Rhinolophus ferrumequinum: one gene and its partner. The protein of the gene in region 1 purifies or fractionates together with the protein of each later gene. This does not show direct contact. Links are inferred from orthologs where the notes say so. Each region holds a gene or a part of one and is shown in the gene's direction. Other genes may lie near its edges.

Region 1 (7,039 bases):
AGTGGCAAGAATGATGGGATAAGTGTGTTCGAAGCGAGGGGGAGTATTTTGAGGGGGATTAAGGGCAATGTGTCTTTTACTGTAACACATTTTTTCAAATTTAAACATTCACTATATTGTTTGATCATACCTCGTATTTGTGGAGTTCTTACTGTCAGACACTCCTTGAAGCACTGGGAGACACCAAGCAGCATAAGTGATAAAAATCTGAGTCTTTGTGGATGTTACTTTCTAGTGGGGGCAGATATACAATAAAGAGTACATTAAATAGTTTGTAAGATGATAAATGCTATGGGAAAAATATAGAACAGGATAAGGGGAACTGGAAGTGCCAAGGAAATGGGGGTGCAATTTTAAATATTGAAGTCAGTGGAGGCATAACTGAGAAGGTAATATTTAAGCGAATATTTAAAGAAGGTGAGGGAGTCACCTATGCAGATATCTAGGAGGAGAGTACTCCAAGCAAAGGGAACAGAAAGTGCTAAGGCCTGATGGTGGACATGAGGGGCACACATTCAGCATGTGGCAAGCGTGTGAGTGGAGGAGAGGTAGGTAGGAAATGACATTAGAGAGATGACAGAGGGGACAGAGAATGTAGGACTTTGCAGACCACTGTAAGGGCTGTGGCTTTTACTCTGAGAGAAATGGGCGGCCATTGGAGGGTTTTGAGCAGCGGGAAGGACGTGTTCTGCCTTTGATTTCTGAAGGATCACTCTAGCTGCTGTGTGAAGAATAGACTGGAGGTACGGGAGGCAGGGCTAGACGCAGGGAGACCAGACAGGAGGCTGTCACAGTTGTCCAGACAGGAGATGATAGAGACACACCAGGTTGGTAACAGCAGAGGTGGTGAGAAGTGGTTAGATTCTGAAGGCAGAGCCGACAGGACTTCCTGATGGGTTGCATGTATGGTGTGAGAGCAGTATCAAGAATAACTTCAAGGATTTGGGCCTCAGCAATCCGAGGGATGCACTTATTATCAACTGAACAGTCTGTGTGGGCAGATGGGATGTATGGGATGGGGGGAGGGTCAGGAGATCAGTTTTGGACTGCTGAGTTTGAGAGTCTAATAGATGTCCATCAATCACATACAAACGGTATGATACATTTTATTATTGTTCAAAAAGATTTGCTGCTCCTGTCTACAGGAACATTCTACGTCCTTATCTCATTGCCCTCGAGGTTAGCCATGACGTTTGCTTTGCCCTGTCCAGTGTGAGAATTGACACGTGCCATTCCTAAGCAGAACTACGGGCTGTTAGGTGAGAGCCACTTTTTGTCTTTACTCTCTGCTATGAGACTGGTGATGTCCCAGGTAAGGGCTGCTCCTTCAGCTTAGGTCCTGGGATGATGACACAGCAGAGATGCAGCCAGCCCACAATGGACAAGGGGGAGCGAGCAATACATTTTTGTTTTTATAAGCTGCAGAGATTTGGGGGTTGTTTATCACCTTCGCATCATTTAACCAATCCTGACTGATACAAAGGAATTTAAAGCTCTAAGGCTATAAGAGATCTCTAAGGGAGCGCATGTAAATGGGTAACAGTGTCCCAGGGGGAGATGACGAGAGGAGGACCTAGCACTGGAGGCTCAGGAGAACTGGCCAGGGAGGTGGGAGAATAACCAGGAGAGTCAGAGAAGCCAAGTGAAGAAAGTGCTTTTGGGAGGAGACAGTGAGCAACTGATGACAGGTTAAGAGGAGGACTGAGAAGTGATTTACTAACATGAGGATTGCTGATGACCTTGACCAGAACATTCTTGGGGGGGGGTTATGGGGCCAAAAGCCTGACTGAAGTGGGTTCAACAGAGACTAGGACTCTGTGGCACAAACTCAGTGTATTTTTTTGTAATTGCAAGAGAAAAAGAGAGAGGAGGAACCTGTAGATTAAAAGAGACATATATACAGGTGGGAAGGTTTCTCTAGCCTACACCTAGGAGTGTAAGTGCTGGATCATAACACTTAAAGCGTATTTAACTTTACAAGATAATGTTAACTTGTTTTCCAAGGACACTGTACCAGTTTACACCTTGACGATAGTGTATAAAAACTTGTTACTTCACATCTTCACCAACACTTCGTATTGCAGACTTTTTGATTTTTGCCAATGTGTGGGTGTAAAATTATAATAACCAATTTTAATTGGAATTTTCCATATCACTAATGAGGTTGCATATCTTTTCATGTGTGTTTTGGCCATTTTTGTTTACTCTTCTGTGAAGTGCCCATTCATATCTTTTGTTCTTTTTTTAAAAAATCAGGTTGTTTTTCTTATTAATCTTAGGAGTTCCTTATGCATTCTACACACTAACCATTTCTTAGTTTATATGTGGCAAACGTTTCCAATTTGTGTCTGGTCTTTTCACTTTATTATTATTTGATAATAGTTTTTATTATTTAAGAATCCCTTGAGGTCATATAGTCTCCTGTATATTCTTCTAAAATTCTAAAGTTTACCTTTCTCATTTAAGTTTTTAATCCATTTGGAATTGCATTTTGTGTATGGTATGAGAGGCAGTGATTCAATTTGATTCTTCCCCCCAAGCTCCAGCTCATCTTTTAAAATGAAACAATAGTTCACGTCAGATTGCTGTCCTTTGGCCATTTTACTCCTCAGCTTGACCATGACTGTTCCTCCCAGTTGAACTTCATTTATGGCTCTTCTCTACTAGAGTCTATCAACCAAACTTGCTCACTTTCCTGGACTTGTCCTACAACTTTAAGACTCTTTTCAGCCTCTGGACATCATTTAAACAATAGTTACAGGAATGGCTATGGCAACCACCAGACCCTTTCCATGTCTAAGTCTAAGCACCAACTCCAGCCTACTCATTCCATTTGTCACCACAATATAAGGTCACTGAAGGGGAAGACTCAGCAGACATTTTAAACTTCTTGGACTGCTAAGGCCATGGCCATGGTAATGAGCAGGTATAAGGTGATACGGCGATGAGGCGACGAAGGGGAGGGATAAAAAAGATTGGGAACAGAGAGAGGAAAGGGACAGAGAGAGCAGAGTGAGGGGGCAGAGAAGGAAAGAAGGAGAGCAACAGGGCGGTTGGTGGGTGTGGAGGACAGAGGGCAGAGAGAGAAGAGGAAGGGGAAAGCAAGGGATGGGGCAGAGGGGGATGGAGAGGAGGGAATGGCATGGAGGTGAGGCACGAAGAGAGAGATAGATAAAGGGGGGAGAAGAGAAGAAGGATAAAGGTGGAGAACACTGGGTTAGGGACCTTGACTCCTAAGGGTTCACACAAAATACCTTTCTTATCAAGGCGTCCCAATTTTGAAGCTCCTAGGTGGGGTCTAGGTTCAAATAGCCAACAAGTGGCTCAGGTCCAAGTCTGTTCTTGGGCTACAGCGTCAGTCTCTGAACTCTGCTTGGAAGAAAAGGAGGGAGGCAGGGGACAGGGGTAGCACCTCTGGCCACGGCTTTCCCCAGCCCTATCCCTGTGGCTCGAGTACCCTCGTAGCTCTTAACACCCCATCCCCCTTCACACTCCATCCCACCTCTAACTCCACCCCACTCCGCCTCCAACCCCGAGCCATAGTAGGATCTGAGCCCATCTAACACCGAATCCTCCCGCTGGCCCCTCCTTCCTGTACAGCCTCCGGCTCCCCGCTCCCCGGGGTCCTTCCAGTACCCCACTCTATTCTTGTCTGAGCCTTCTGGCCCGCCAGGCTAAAGCCGAACTCCCACCTTCCTCTCGCCCTGCAGGGCATAACCCTGTAGTGACTTCAGACTTGTGTTAGCAAGAGTGAACTCTGTCTGCTTTTTCAGATCCTGAAAGCTGTTCAGTCTCCCGCACCGCTGCCTCTGCAATTCTCTCAGTAGTGGCGGCGCTCTGCGTTGCCAAGCAACAAGAAAGGGAGGCGGGGCCAAACGCTCGTCGTAGGCTCGCTCCTTGGCAACGGATCAACAAACCTGCGCGTCAGCCCGAAGGCCCCGCCCCTAGCTCCCGCCCACGGGAAGCTGGGAATCCCGTTCGACCTGCACTTATTCTCGCGACGTTTGGGGTCCGCCCGGCCTGCATTGCGGTGTTTCCCGCGCAGGCTACCTCGGTTCCTCGGCGCACGGCGCGGCCATTCGTACCGCCGCCGGCGCCGTAGCCGTCATGGGCTTCCTGAAATTGATTGAGATCGAGAACTTTAAGTCGTACAAGGGTCGACAGATTATCGGACCATTTCAGAGGTTCACCGCCATCATTGGACCCAATGGCTCTGGTAAGATAAACCCGGCTGCGGCCATGGGCACGTCCCGGACCCCCTATCCAGCAGCAGAGTAGTACAGCCCAGCCCGTGCCACTTGAAATGTCGGGAACCCTAACAGGTTCCTTGCCGCTCCTCAGGGGGTTCGGCCCAAACCTGCTTTCCCGGTTCAGGAGCTCTGACTTGAACCTTTTCCCCAGGTGTCAGTTGGCCGCTCTTCGCGCGGCCCCCGCTCCGGCCCCAGTGGTACGCCCCGGATTCTATATTCCCCCGCCCTCTGCCCCCTCCCGCCAAAAGTGGCGGTCCCGAGCCCGCTGCCAGCTAGCTGGATTCCCCGCCTTGTAAGAACCCTCCGGAAGATGTGGGACTGCTGGTAGCCCTCCCGTGACCTCCGGTCTCAAACGGTACACTTACCCGTCCCGCTTCGCATTGGTACGCTCCAATTCCTCCTCCTCTTTTTTTTTTTTAAACTCTTTTTCGGAGGCGGCACTTTTGAATTTGAGACCCAGCGCTCGCGTCTCGACCCTCCACCCCGTCCCCATTTTAGAGGTGGGGATGCCTCGAACTCGCCCCTTTGCTACCACTGAAACCGTTAAAACTCGGAACTTATTCGCTCACCAAATTTGTTGAATGCTTACTGTTTTATAAGGAATTTATTCAAGGTGCTGTGGAAATAGCGGAAAATAGAATAAGCCTTGCTCCCAGGGAATTTACATTCCAGATGGGAAAGACAATAATAAAGGAGAAAATAGAATAATTTTCGGTTGTGATAACTGCTGTGCAGGAAATAACACAGGTTGATGTGATAGAGTGACGTGGATGGTGTCTTTGGAAAGAGTGGTCCGTAGTTAACAGTACTGTGTTATATATTTGAGAGTTGCTAAGAGAGTAGATTTTAAAAGTTTTCATCACAAGGAAAAAATGTTAACTATGTGAGGTGATGGATGTTAACTAATTGCGGTGATCATTTTGCAATTTATATAAATGTGGAATCATAATGGTATACACCTGAAACTAATATGTCATGTCAGTTCTGTTTCAGTGAAACTGGGAAAAAAAGAAAGGGTGGTTAGATAAGGCCTCTGTTACATATCTGAACTTCCCATCTCTAAACGATACACCATGGATTCCTCCCATCTACCCCCACGAGTGTTTGTTTGGAATCCTGCTGTGCTTCACCCCAGAGTTGTTCTAGCTAAATCATTTCCTAGCCTGAGGGGAGCTGCCCTTGCTGAAGTAGCTCTAACTGACAGCCTTGCCTGGAGTCTTGCCCCGGTTTGGCTCGGTTGAGCAGGGTTTCTCAACCCCGGCCTTACTGACATTTCCAGCGAGATAATTCTTTGTTAAGGGGTCGGTCCTGTGTATTGTAGGATGTTTAGCGGCATCCTCGGCTACTACCCACTACTGACAGTACTACCCCTACCCCCCAGGTGTTACAACCAAAAATGTCTCCAGACATTTTACCAAATGTCCCCTGAAGGGGGCGGGAAATCATCCCCTCCCAACCTTGTTTGAGAACCACTGGCCTGGAGGGCTAATACTTGGGGTCCCACTCCAGTTTCTTAGTATTTTGGTGTGGGGGAAAGAGCCAGGATGCACCTCTTGGCATTAGTCCCCTCATTGTATAGCCCCCTCAGCTGCTCCAAAAGGCTCTTGGTCTGACTGTCCTCCTCGCCCCCCCACGCCCCCCATTCTTCAGTGCCCACCTCCACAAGGCATTCCTTGATTCCTCTCAGGCACACAGTAGACACTTGATACACTTGAACATTTGGTTTCTCCTGTCTCGTATTCATGGCATGTTTTTGTATCTTCATCACTGGTCTGTGCTATGAATGCCCCAAAGAAGACATTCCTTAAAACTGTATCACTGTTCATTCAGCTCATAATACATGTTATTAAAAATGTTTACAATATTGAGTGATTGTGAGTAGGGAGGCCTTGGGTTGTGAGATATTCTTACTGTTCCTGGAGAGCATGGGACAAGCCCAAAGGTTGGAAATGGGTGCCTAAAAGGCTGACTCCGGGTCTGCATGATGTGCTAGTCCTGCTGTGATGAGGGAGACAGCTGAGTCTAGAACTGTTGTTAGGATAGGGCTACTGTTTTTTTGAGCACCTACTGTATGTCAAGTACTTTATTTATTGGGACCTTTTACATTTAAATTCTCACAATAACCCTAGAAGGGAGATCCCGTTATCCTTGTTTTATACTTGAGGAGACTGAGGCACAGAGTTGTGATGACTTGCATACTGGTTCTCAGAGCCAGAATCGGAACCCATGTCTGTTACACTTGCAAGCTTTTGCTCTTGCCACTCTAACAGACAACTATGTGCCAAGCATCGTTTTAGATGCTTCACCTATGAGTCATGCTTTTTCACATTTTTCAGGTGAGGGAATAGAAGGTTAGCTAAGGAGTAGTGAAACTAAGGTTATACAACCTGGTCTATTGGACTAGACCCCGAGCTCTTAATCTGTCTTGTGCTGCCTCCATGGAAGGACCTGGGCTACCGTTTTTATAGCTGAGTAGATCGGTGTTGGAAATCAGATCCAAAGTTCACTGTCATATAACATAGTTGGGGAGAATCTTGAGATAGAATTTATAGAGATTAAACTATTCCCCACCTCCAGTCCCAGTCCAGATTTTTTAAAATGTTTTTTTCCTGAGTCTAAAACGAAGAAAGTAAAAACTGTCACTCTTAATGTTAACAATTTTATGTATTTGAATAGCTAATCAATGCATATGGTATAAAATTCAAAAAAATACCAAAGGCTATAATACAGTTAAAAGAAGACTCCATTTCTTCCCTGGTTTGTTACCTACTATTACACTGTTTACATTT
Region 2 (7,569 bases), on another chromosome or scaffold:
ACGACCGCATGAGCTTCCACTACACCGTGGTCCTCATGGTAGGCCGTGGCAGGGGCTTAGGGGCTGGTTGGCGGAGGCCCAGGGGCTGATGGAAACCCCACTGTTGTATCAGGGGGCCACTCTCCCACTGGATGGGGCCTACAGTTCTCCCAGGTGATCAGTATCTGCTGGGCTGCCATGGGGTCGCTCTATGCTGAGATGCTAAACGACAAGTTTCTTCGGTACTTTGCCCTGACTGTCCTGAGTGAGTGACGGAATGGGGAGCTTTGGGACCCCGAGACGTGGAGGGGGCAGGGAAGGCTGATGGGGGTTCTCTCCACCCAGTGCTCAATGGAGCCATGTTCTTCAACCGTCTGTCCCTGGAATTTCTGGCCCTCCAGTACCGGGAGGAGAATCACTGAAGCTTGGGGACTGGGCTGAGGTGGAAGGAAAAGGAAGCTTCGGGTGTTTTAATAAAGTCTGTCATTTATTTCCACCTGTCCGCTCCTGCATGGGTCGGGGAGGGTGGGAGGCCGGAGACCCAGGGGAAGCAGATCAAGACGAACGCTTATCTGCAGGGACCCCAGGCCCAGCCTGCAGCCATTCTGGTAGATTCGGCTTTGGGCCTGGGATCTTAGTGTCTCAAGCCTGAGGGAGAGGAGCTGAGAAAGGCCCCCAGACTGTCCCACGTCCCCTCCTCAGGCCCCCAGTTCCGAGGCTTGCCCAGACACAAGCAAGGTCTCAGGAGGGCCCCACACGGATGTGAGGGTTCATGAGTGGGTCCAGGTTGGGGTCACTGTCAGCTGCAGCCCGGCCCAGGCGAGACATGAGGACAAGGAGGGCCAAGAAGCCCAGCAGCCCCAGCAGCAGCAGCAGCCCCGCCCGCTGGAGCAGGGTCAGAGGCCGCTTACGAGACCCGGCCCGGCTCCTGGGGGGACGAGGGGAAAGTCAGATCAGGCCCCCAATCCCTGGGGGCCCCGCGGCCTGGCGAGGAGCCCTCATCACGATACTCGTCTTCTGGCCCCAGCACCACCATCAAGCCTCATTTCCTCAAGTGAGCCATGGGGACGAACATCCCTGGCCCTGGCCACTACAAGGGTGACCGTGCCGCTCAAACCAACTGAGGCACCGACTGTTCTGGAAACCGGAAGGTGTCAGACATGGGGACAGTTACAAAGATCGGGTGGTGGCAAAGCAGGAAGGGGCCTCAAAGAGCCCGAGTTGAAACCTCGTATGTAGCAGCTGAGGAACAGCCCTGGAGACGGCAGACCCAAGAGTTCTATTGCCAAGCAGAGACCTTTCTATTCAGCCCCAACACCGGGGCCCGATATTACCCAGGGACAAGCCTCTTTTGTCATGAAATTGTCGTGCCCGGGGACCGGCTCTCACTTCCCTTCCTCCCCCTTCCTGGCATCCTGCCCCACCTGACCCTGTGTACCTGAGCAGCTGGGCCAGCCAGCCCAGTGCAGGACGGCGACGGTACTTGTCATCGTCGTAATCCCCGTGGAGGCCTGGTGTCCGGTCATCGTCCCGCGTGTCATACACCTTCCTCGGGGCCGAGGCTGCAGGGGCAGAGCCATTAGCATACACCGGCTCGGGGAAACTGGCCCACAGCAGGGGGAGTGGGGACGGCAGGAGATCCTTGCCTTTCTCGGCCTGACAGTAAATCTCAGAATCGTAGAGCGGTAACGTCTGCGCTTAGAGTGAGGAAGGGTCCCTCCAGATGGGTCTCTGGACCCGAGCTCCCTTCACCCCACCCCTTTTCTATCCTCCTCTGGCCTAGACAATCCCCTGCTCACCATGAGTCATGGGCTCGGACCCGCTCATGTGGATCACCGTGTGTTGCTCAGGCCGGCTTGGGGAAGCAGGGGGCCGAGGGGCTTGGTTGTAGTAGGCTGGGGCAGCAGAAGCACTGGCTCTCTCTTCTTGTTCAGCGGTACCATTGGCTGTGGCACGAAGAGAGCCGTCAGCAGGGCAGGGAGGCAAGGGCCCCAACAGCAGGCGGAGACTGCCACTCACCATTAAAGCTGGACCAGTCAGAGAAGTCGGAGGTGTTGAGGGGCTCAGGCTCCGGGCTCACCACCTCATCAATCTGAAGGAAGGAACCTGTGTCACCAGCCTGCCCAGTGCTCTCCCCACCCACCCATCTGGCCCAGGTGGAACCCTAGACAGACAGAGGGACTCTCACCAGAGGAAGGCCCAATCCTGCCCGGGCCCAGTTGACGGTGGCCAGCTTCTCTCTCAGCGCGGAGGCCACGGGGCCAGCCAGGTTAGTTGGGGGGAAGATGGGGCCACTGCAGCTGGGGCACTGGTAGCCAGCAGGCGCTGTATTTTGGGGCAGCTGGGCAGCACGTTCATTGAGGCAGGCCCAGTGGAAGAGATCTTAGGGCCCATGAAATAGCAGAGGAGGGGCATGAGGAAGAAGACACTTTGTACCCCTAGCCCAGCAACAGCCCCTAGCCCACTGCAGGAACATATGCACACACACATAGAAGCCCAGGGCCACCTCCTTCCCATACTCGCCCCAGGTCCATTTCGTCAGTGTGCCCTCGGCCCTATTGGCTACCACCATCTGACTGAATCAAAGCAGATGCTACACAGCCTACCAGGAAGTGGGGATGGGTGGAAAGATGATGCCGTAAGCTCCTTGATTAGCTAACAGTTAATCAAGAACAATTTCAGAAGAGCTTCCTAGACATACACACAGGCACATATATGCCTCTACACCTCCATGGGCACACATACCTGTGCTTATATACACATAACCAAACAAGTGCCATCCCTGCATCTATCTTACAGGCACACTAACTCTCACACATACACATCTACACACTCACTTGTGTGCTAACACTCAAGCACCCTCACCCACACACTCTTCTGCAACCCCACGACACACCTGTATTCTTATGTTCACACGCAACATTTACCCATTCACTCACCCACAAGTACTAATGAACTCACTAACACTTATGTAAAGACACAAAGCACATTAAATTCATGCACGTATAGCCATGCACTCACACTAAGAAACACCTACGTGGAGCTCACTCTTTTGCACTAGCTTCTCCAAAAAAGGGAGCTAAAGCTCGTACACAACGTCAAGGTCATGACACATGTCTGCCGACTGCTTTTAGCTGACTCTACTATGGGAAACTCGCTTCCTTTCTGTTTAATCCTGGAATCAGTAATGGATCCTGAATGTCTGAAAGGCCCATGCCAGTCTGGCCAGCTCACAGCCTCAACCACGCCCACAAGTTTGACTGCCTCTTGCTCAACCCTTGAGATTGGAGGGAAGAAACTAGGAACTTTCATTTTTAAGGAGACATTGAGGCCTAGAAAGGAAAAATGACTTGCCTGAGCTTACAGAGCAGGTTAAGTAACCCAGCAGGATTAGAATCTGGGGCTCCAGCCTTCATGGCTTAGAGGGGTCTCACTGTCCTGCTACTTAGGGAGGGCTAGGAAACTAGTCACCAGGCTGGGCCTATCCTGATCCCCCCAGGTGCCCAGGCCTCACCATAGCAGACAAGGCGGGTCGTCTCCCGAGTGGCCAGGGGTATGTTGCACAGGCGGCAATTGGGGTTGTAGTCGCTATCTTGGAGCCACTGCAGGTAAGACTGTACGATGCACTGGAGTGGGAGAGAGAGGTCACAACTGGAGCTGGGCTCCACAGCCCAGTTCCCTAAGGCCCAACTGCCTCTTTATCTCTCATCACAGAGGAGACTTATCCTTTCGTTTGTTCAATCAATAAACATTTATTGAGCACATACTGTGTGCCACACTGTCTTAAGAGGATATAGGAGTGAACAAAATAAACCAAGTCCTTGCCCTCGTGGAGCTTCCATTCTAGCGCCAGGACCTTCATGGATTTGGAGGATGCCAATACCACTTGCCCTCCCAGTGCCCTGCTCAGCCGCTCCCCTGAAGGCCCCACCTTGGCGTGATTGGCTACCAGGCAGTGCTCGCAGACGTTGACCCGGTGTTCGAAGCAGAACAAGTTGGTCACCTTCCTCTTGGGGCACTTGCAAAGCCCCATGGTCGACCCTGGAGAAGAGTTGGTAGGGAGCTAGGTTCTGGTGGCCGCTACGCACTCACCAGCCCAGTTCGTTTCCATTTTTAACTCCCCTAGACACTCTCACGTTCGCCGGAGCCCCAACTTCCTGCCCACCGCCCCTCTTCATTCCGGACCACGCTCCCGGCATAAACCCCGCCTCCGAAGACCACTCTTTCCTCCTGGATCCCGCCCCCGGCCAGGCCCCTCCATCAGCGTCTCTCCGATACCACCGGCCCCGCCTCCAGGGGCCCCTCCTGAGTCCCACCCCTCGAAGCCCCGCCCCCACTTTCTCCACAGACCCCCTCTCCGTGTTACTGATCCACTCGGGCACGGGTCCCGACAGACGCGCGCTGGTCCAACACACGGAAGGACAGACACCGCGCTCCGCGGACCTCCAGCTCAGCTCTTTCCAGTTCGGGCCGCTCCTATTATGCCCCGGCTGCCACGTCTCTTCCGGGTGCGGCGCGCGCCGATGACGCCAGCGCGCCCCTGGCCCCACCCCGGCTGACGGTACACTTGAGACCGGTGAGGAAGAGGCGACCCAAGTACCGCGGCCCTCCCGCCTTACGCAATTTCCGCTTCCTCCTGGGTAGGGCGGGTAATCCGAACGTTTTTGCTTCAGAAAGGCCCTCGGGTTGGCGCGAGCCCGGGAGGCGGCGGCGGCGGCGGCGGCGGCAATCCAAACGAAGGCTAGACATGTCGGAGAGGCGAACGCGGTCTGGAGGGGCCTCTCAGCGCTCTGGTGAGGGGAGGGCGCGCGGGAGAGACGGGGCCGAGCTGTTTGAGGGTTGCAGTCCCATGACGAAGGCCCTCCCCGTACCGCCCTACGATGGATGACCCACGGCCCACCTTCCGCCCCGAGAAGGCTCCCCCAAAGTGCCTCTTGGGGGACCTTTTCTCACTGTCTCCAGAACCTGTGTTCCAGACCTTGAGGTCCAGAGCCCTCCCCTACCTCCTAACTTTTTTCTCTTTCCAGGACCAAACACCCCATCTTATCAGTCTCTGCGGAGGTCCCAGCGGAAATCAGGCTCCGATCTCCCCAGCACCCTCCCTAACATCTGGCCGAAGGTGAGCCCGGGGTTCCTCAGTTCCTACCCTAGAGGTCTCTGGACTCACGTAGAGCTCATGGTCACCCCTCTTCTCCAGGCACCCCCGGTGGCTCCAGTCAAAAAGCCCATCGTCTTGAAGAAGATCGTGGCCCATAGTGTAAAGGTGAGGACTGAGAGAGAGCTTGTGGGTGGGAACCACAATTAGGGGCCGGCTCTGTGATCAATAAGTGTTGTCTCCACAGGTCCCATCCATCCGCTCGCCTCGAAGGAGCCCTAGGGTGAGTTCATTTTCATTTGTTTTGTTAAGTAGAATCCAGGACATTCTGGAGCTGGGACAGACTGTAGAGGCTGGGACAGACTATAGTGGCCCACATTGTTTGCTCAGGAAGCTGTTTCGCAGTATTTTGAAACAGTTTGCCCTTGGACACCTGCAGGCATTGCCAACCTTGCTTACTCCTTATAGACTTAATATGTTTAGCTCTTGATGGTATGTTCAAGAGATGGTACGTTCTACCATTTTCCTTTAAACGTTAACTGTGTCCTAACTTTCTTTCTGCTCCATCTTGTCTGCAGTTTTTTTTTTTTTTTTTTAACTTTATTTATTTAAGTGTTTTTCCAGGACCCATCAGCTCCAAGTCAAGTAGTTTCAATCTAGTTGTGGAGGGTGCAGCTCACAGTGGCGCATGTGGGAATTGAACTGGCAACCTTGTTAAGAGCGCCGCGCTCTAACTGAGCCAAACGACCGCCCTTTGTCCTCAGTTTTTATTTACGGTTGTTGTAATATGAGTTATGTGTATGATGGCTTTGCAGTTTTAGCAGAAGTCAAGATGTTTCATTAAAATCTGTGCCTGAGGATATAATGAATGAGAAATGCCAACTGTTTTTGAGGAGCTCATGGGGCTTACAGTCGAGTGGGAAGAAAGACAAATGAACAGGTGATAACATAGTATGCTGAGGACTGCAATACAGAAAGAACTAGATGGTATGAAGGCACCTAACCCAGACCAGGTGGCTCAGGGAACATTTCATAGAAGAAGAAATATTTAAAATGAGTCTTTAATCTTTATAGACAAGTAGGAGTGTCTGTAAAGGAAGCTGTATTTGCAGAGATCTGGATTCCACACACACATTGAAAAAACAAGGTTTGGGGAGCAACAGCTTCCTTTCTTGGTATGTCTGCAGCAGACCTTGATAGAGGAGGGCGCGTGCTAAGCCAGAACAGAATAGATCCTGATGAGGCATGAAAGCTGTGTTTGAGACCTTGGGTTTCATCCTTGGCACTGCGGGCAGCTTTTGGAGAGTCTTAAGCAAGGTAGTGACTGAGTTAAACTTTGGTGTTTGAGAAAGCTCCCTCTTGGGGGTGGGGGTGGGGGGAGCTGGGTGGAGAATCGGCTGGAAAAAGACTGCCAGGGGTTCCAAGACCAAGTAGGAAGACTTGACAGGAATCCTGAAGTGACATGATGGGGGCCTAAAGTAAGGTGATGGCAAAGTGATGCTCCTCCCCCTGGCTCACCACATGACTGTCCTATCACACAGGACTCAGCTCAGTGGAGACCTCCTCCCGGAAGCCTTCCCTGACCACCCCTATCCAGTCACTGTCACATTTCTTAATGTAATTCTTAGGACTTATCAATGGCTCGGGGTAATTTGTTGTCTTTCTCTCCCCAGTAGGTGCCTTGAGGGCAGAGACTGCCACCTCCCCCATGGTAGTCACTCATTCTTGTTGGTTGACTAATAAATTCATGAGACAGTAAACAGAAAAGGCTGCGACGACTTGGGTGACTGCTTGGCCATAGGGAATAAGGAAGTAGTAGTCGGGTAACCGCCATGTTCAGCATCCCTTTGACGAGACGCATGGGGCATATTCTCCAGAGCTTGCAGTCGTGTCTCTTTTTGATAACCAATGGACTTCCTTCTAGCTGACTGTAAGAGTCATTGAATTTGTCTCATTTTCCTCTTGTCTGGGCTGCCAGACAGCTCAGTGCCAAGTTTCGTGTACATTAATTGGGTTTTGTGTACATTAACTTACTGAACACCTCTGCACGTGAGGCTGTGCTGAAGACGGGGGCACAGGCAGGGTCAGCCAGACAGATAACGACCCCTGCTCTCATGAAGCCCATATTCTATTGGGGGGATGACAGTCAACCAATGGACAAGCCCAAACCAGAAAGTGATGGTTGCTGTACAGGAGAGCGTTGTTGTGACAGAGAGCGACGAGCAGAGGTGAGGAGGGTCTGATCTAAACTCCACGGTAAGGGACAGCCTCCCTAAGGAAGCAGCCTCTGAGCTGAGTGGAATTATAGGGGACAGTATGTGAACCTCCTAATCCGCACGCTCTGTTCACAACCTTGCCAGGGCTCCCTGGGTCTCCCCTGACAGTGGCCTAGAAAAGGCCCTAGGATGCCCCCAATGACCTCTCATGCCCCGTCTTTAGTGCCTCTCCTTAACTTCCACTCGATTCAGGCACACGGGCCTGCTTGTTCCTAACAG

Evidence for each region. The genes of interacting proteins can lie anywhere in the genome.
Region 2: the proteins of SMC1A (region 1) and CDCA5 purify together in Homo sapiens (affinity purification with mass spectrometry; 7 studies listed by BioGRID and IntAct, counting the BioPlex papers as one, with this or other methods). This does not show direct contact. The link is inferred for Rhinolophus ferrumequinum from reciprocal best matches to the Homo sapiens genes SMC1A and CDCA5.

The regions. Positions count from the first base shown.
Region 1 is NC_046284.1:82,385,883-82,392,921, forward strand, and holds the start of SMC1A (structural maintenance of chromosomes protein 1A), read left to right. Parts: upstream 1-4,026; 5' UTR 4,027-4,107; coding exon 4,108-4,216; intron 4,217-7,039. UniProt on the Homo sapiens protein: Involved in chromosome cohesion during cell cycle and in DNA repair. Central component of cohesin complex. The cohesin complex is required for the cohesion of sister chromatids after DNA replication.
Region 2 is NC_046294.1:6,518,253-6,525,821, forward strand, and holds the start of CDCA5 (sororin), read left to right. Parts: upstream 1-4,560; 5' UTR 4,561-4,726; coding exon 4,727-4,772; intron 4,773-5,006; coding exon 5,007-5,098; intron 5,099-5,176; coding exon 5,177-5,242; intron 5,243-5,321; coding exon 5,322-5,357; intron 5,358-7,569. Other genes in the region: cation channel sperm-associated auxiliary subunit TMEM262, read left to right, coding at 1-38, 145-212, 325-631; ZFPL1 (zinc finger protein-like 1), read right to left, coding at 721-907, 1,418-1,541, 1,779-1,925, 1,999-2,071, 2,168-2,361, 3,494-3,605, 3,911-4,012. UniProt on the Homo sapiens protein: Regulator of sister chromatid cohesion in mitosis stabilizing cohesin complex association with chromatin. May antagonize the action of WAPL which stimulates cohesin dissociation from chromatin.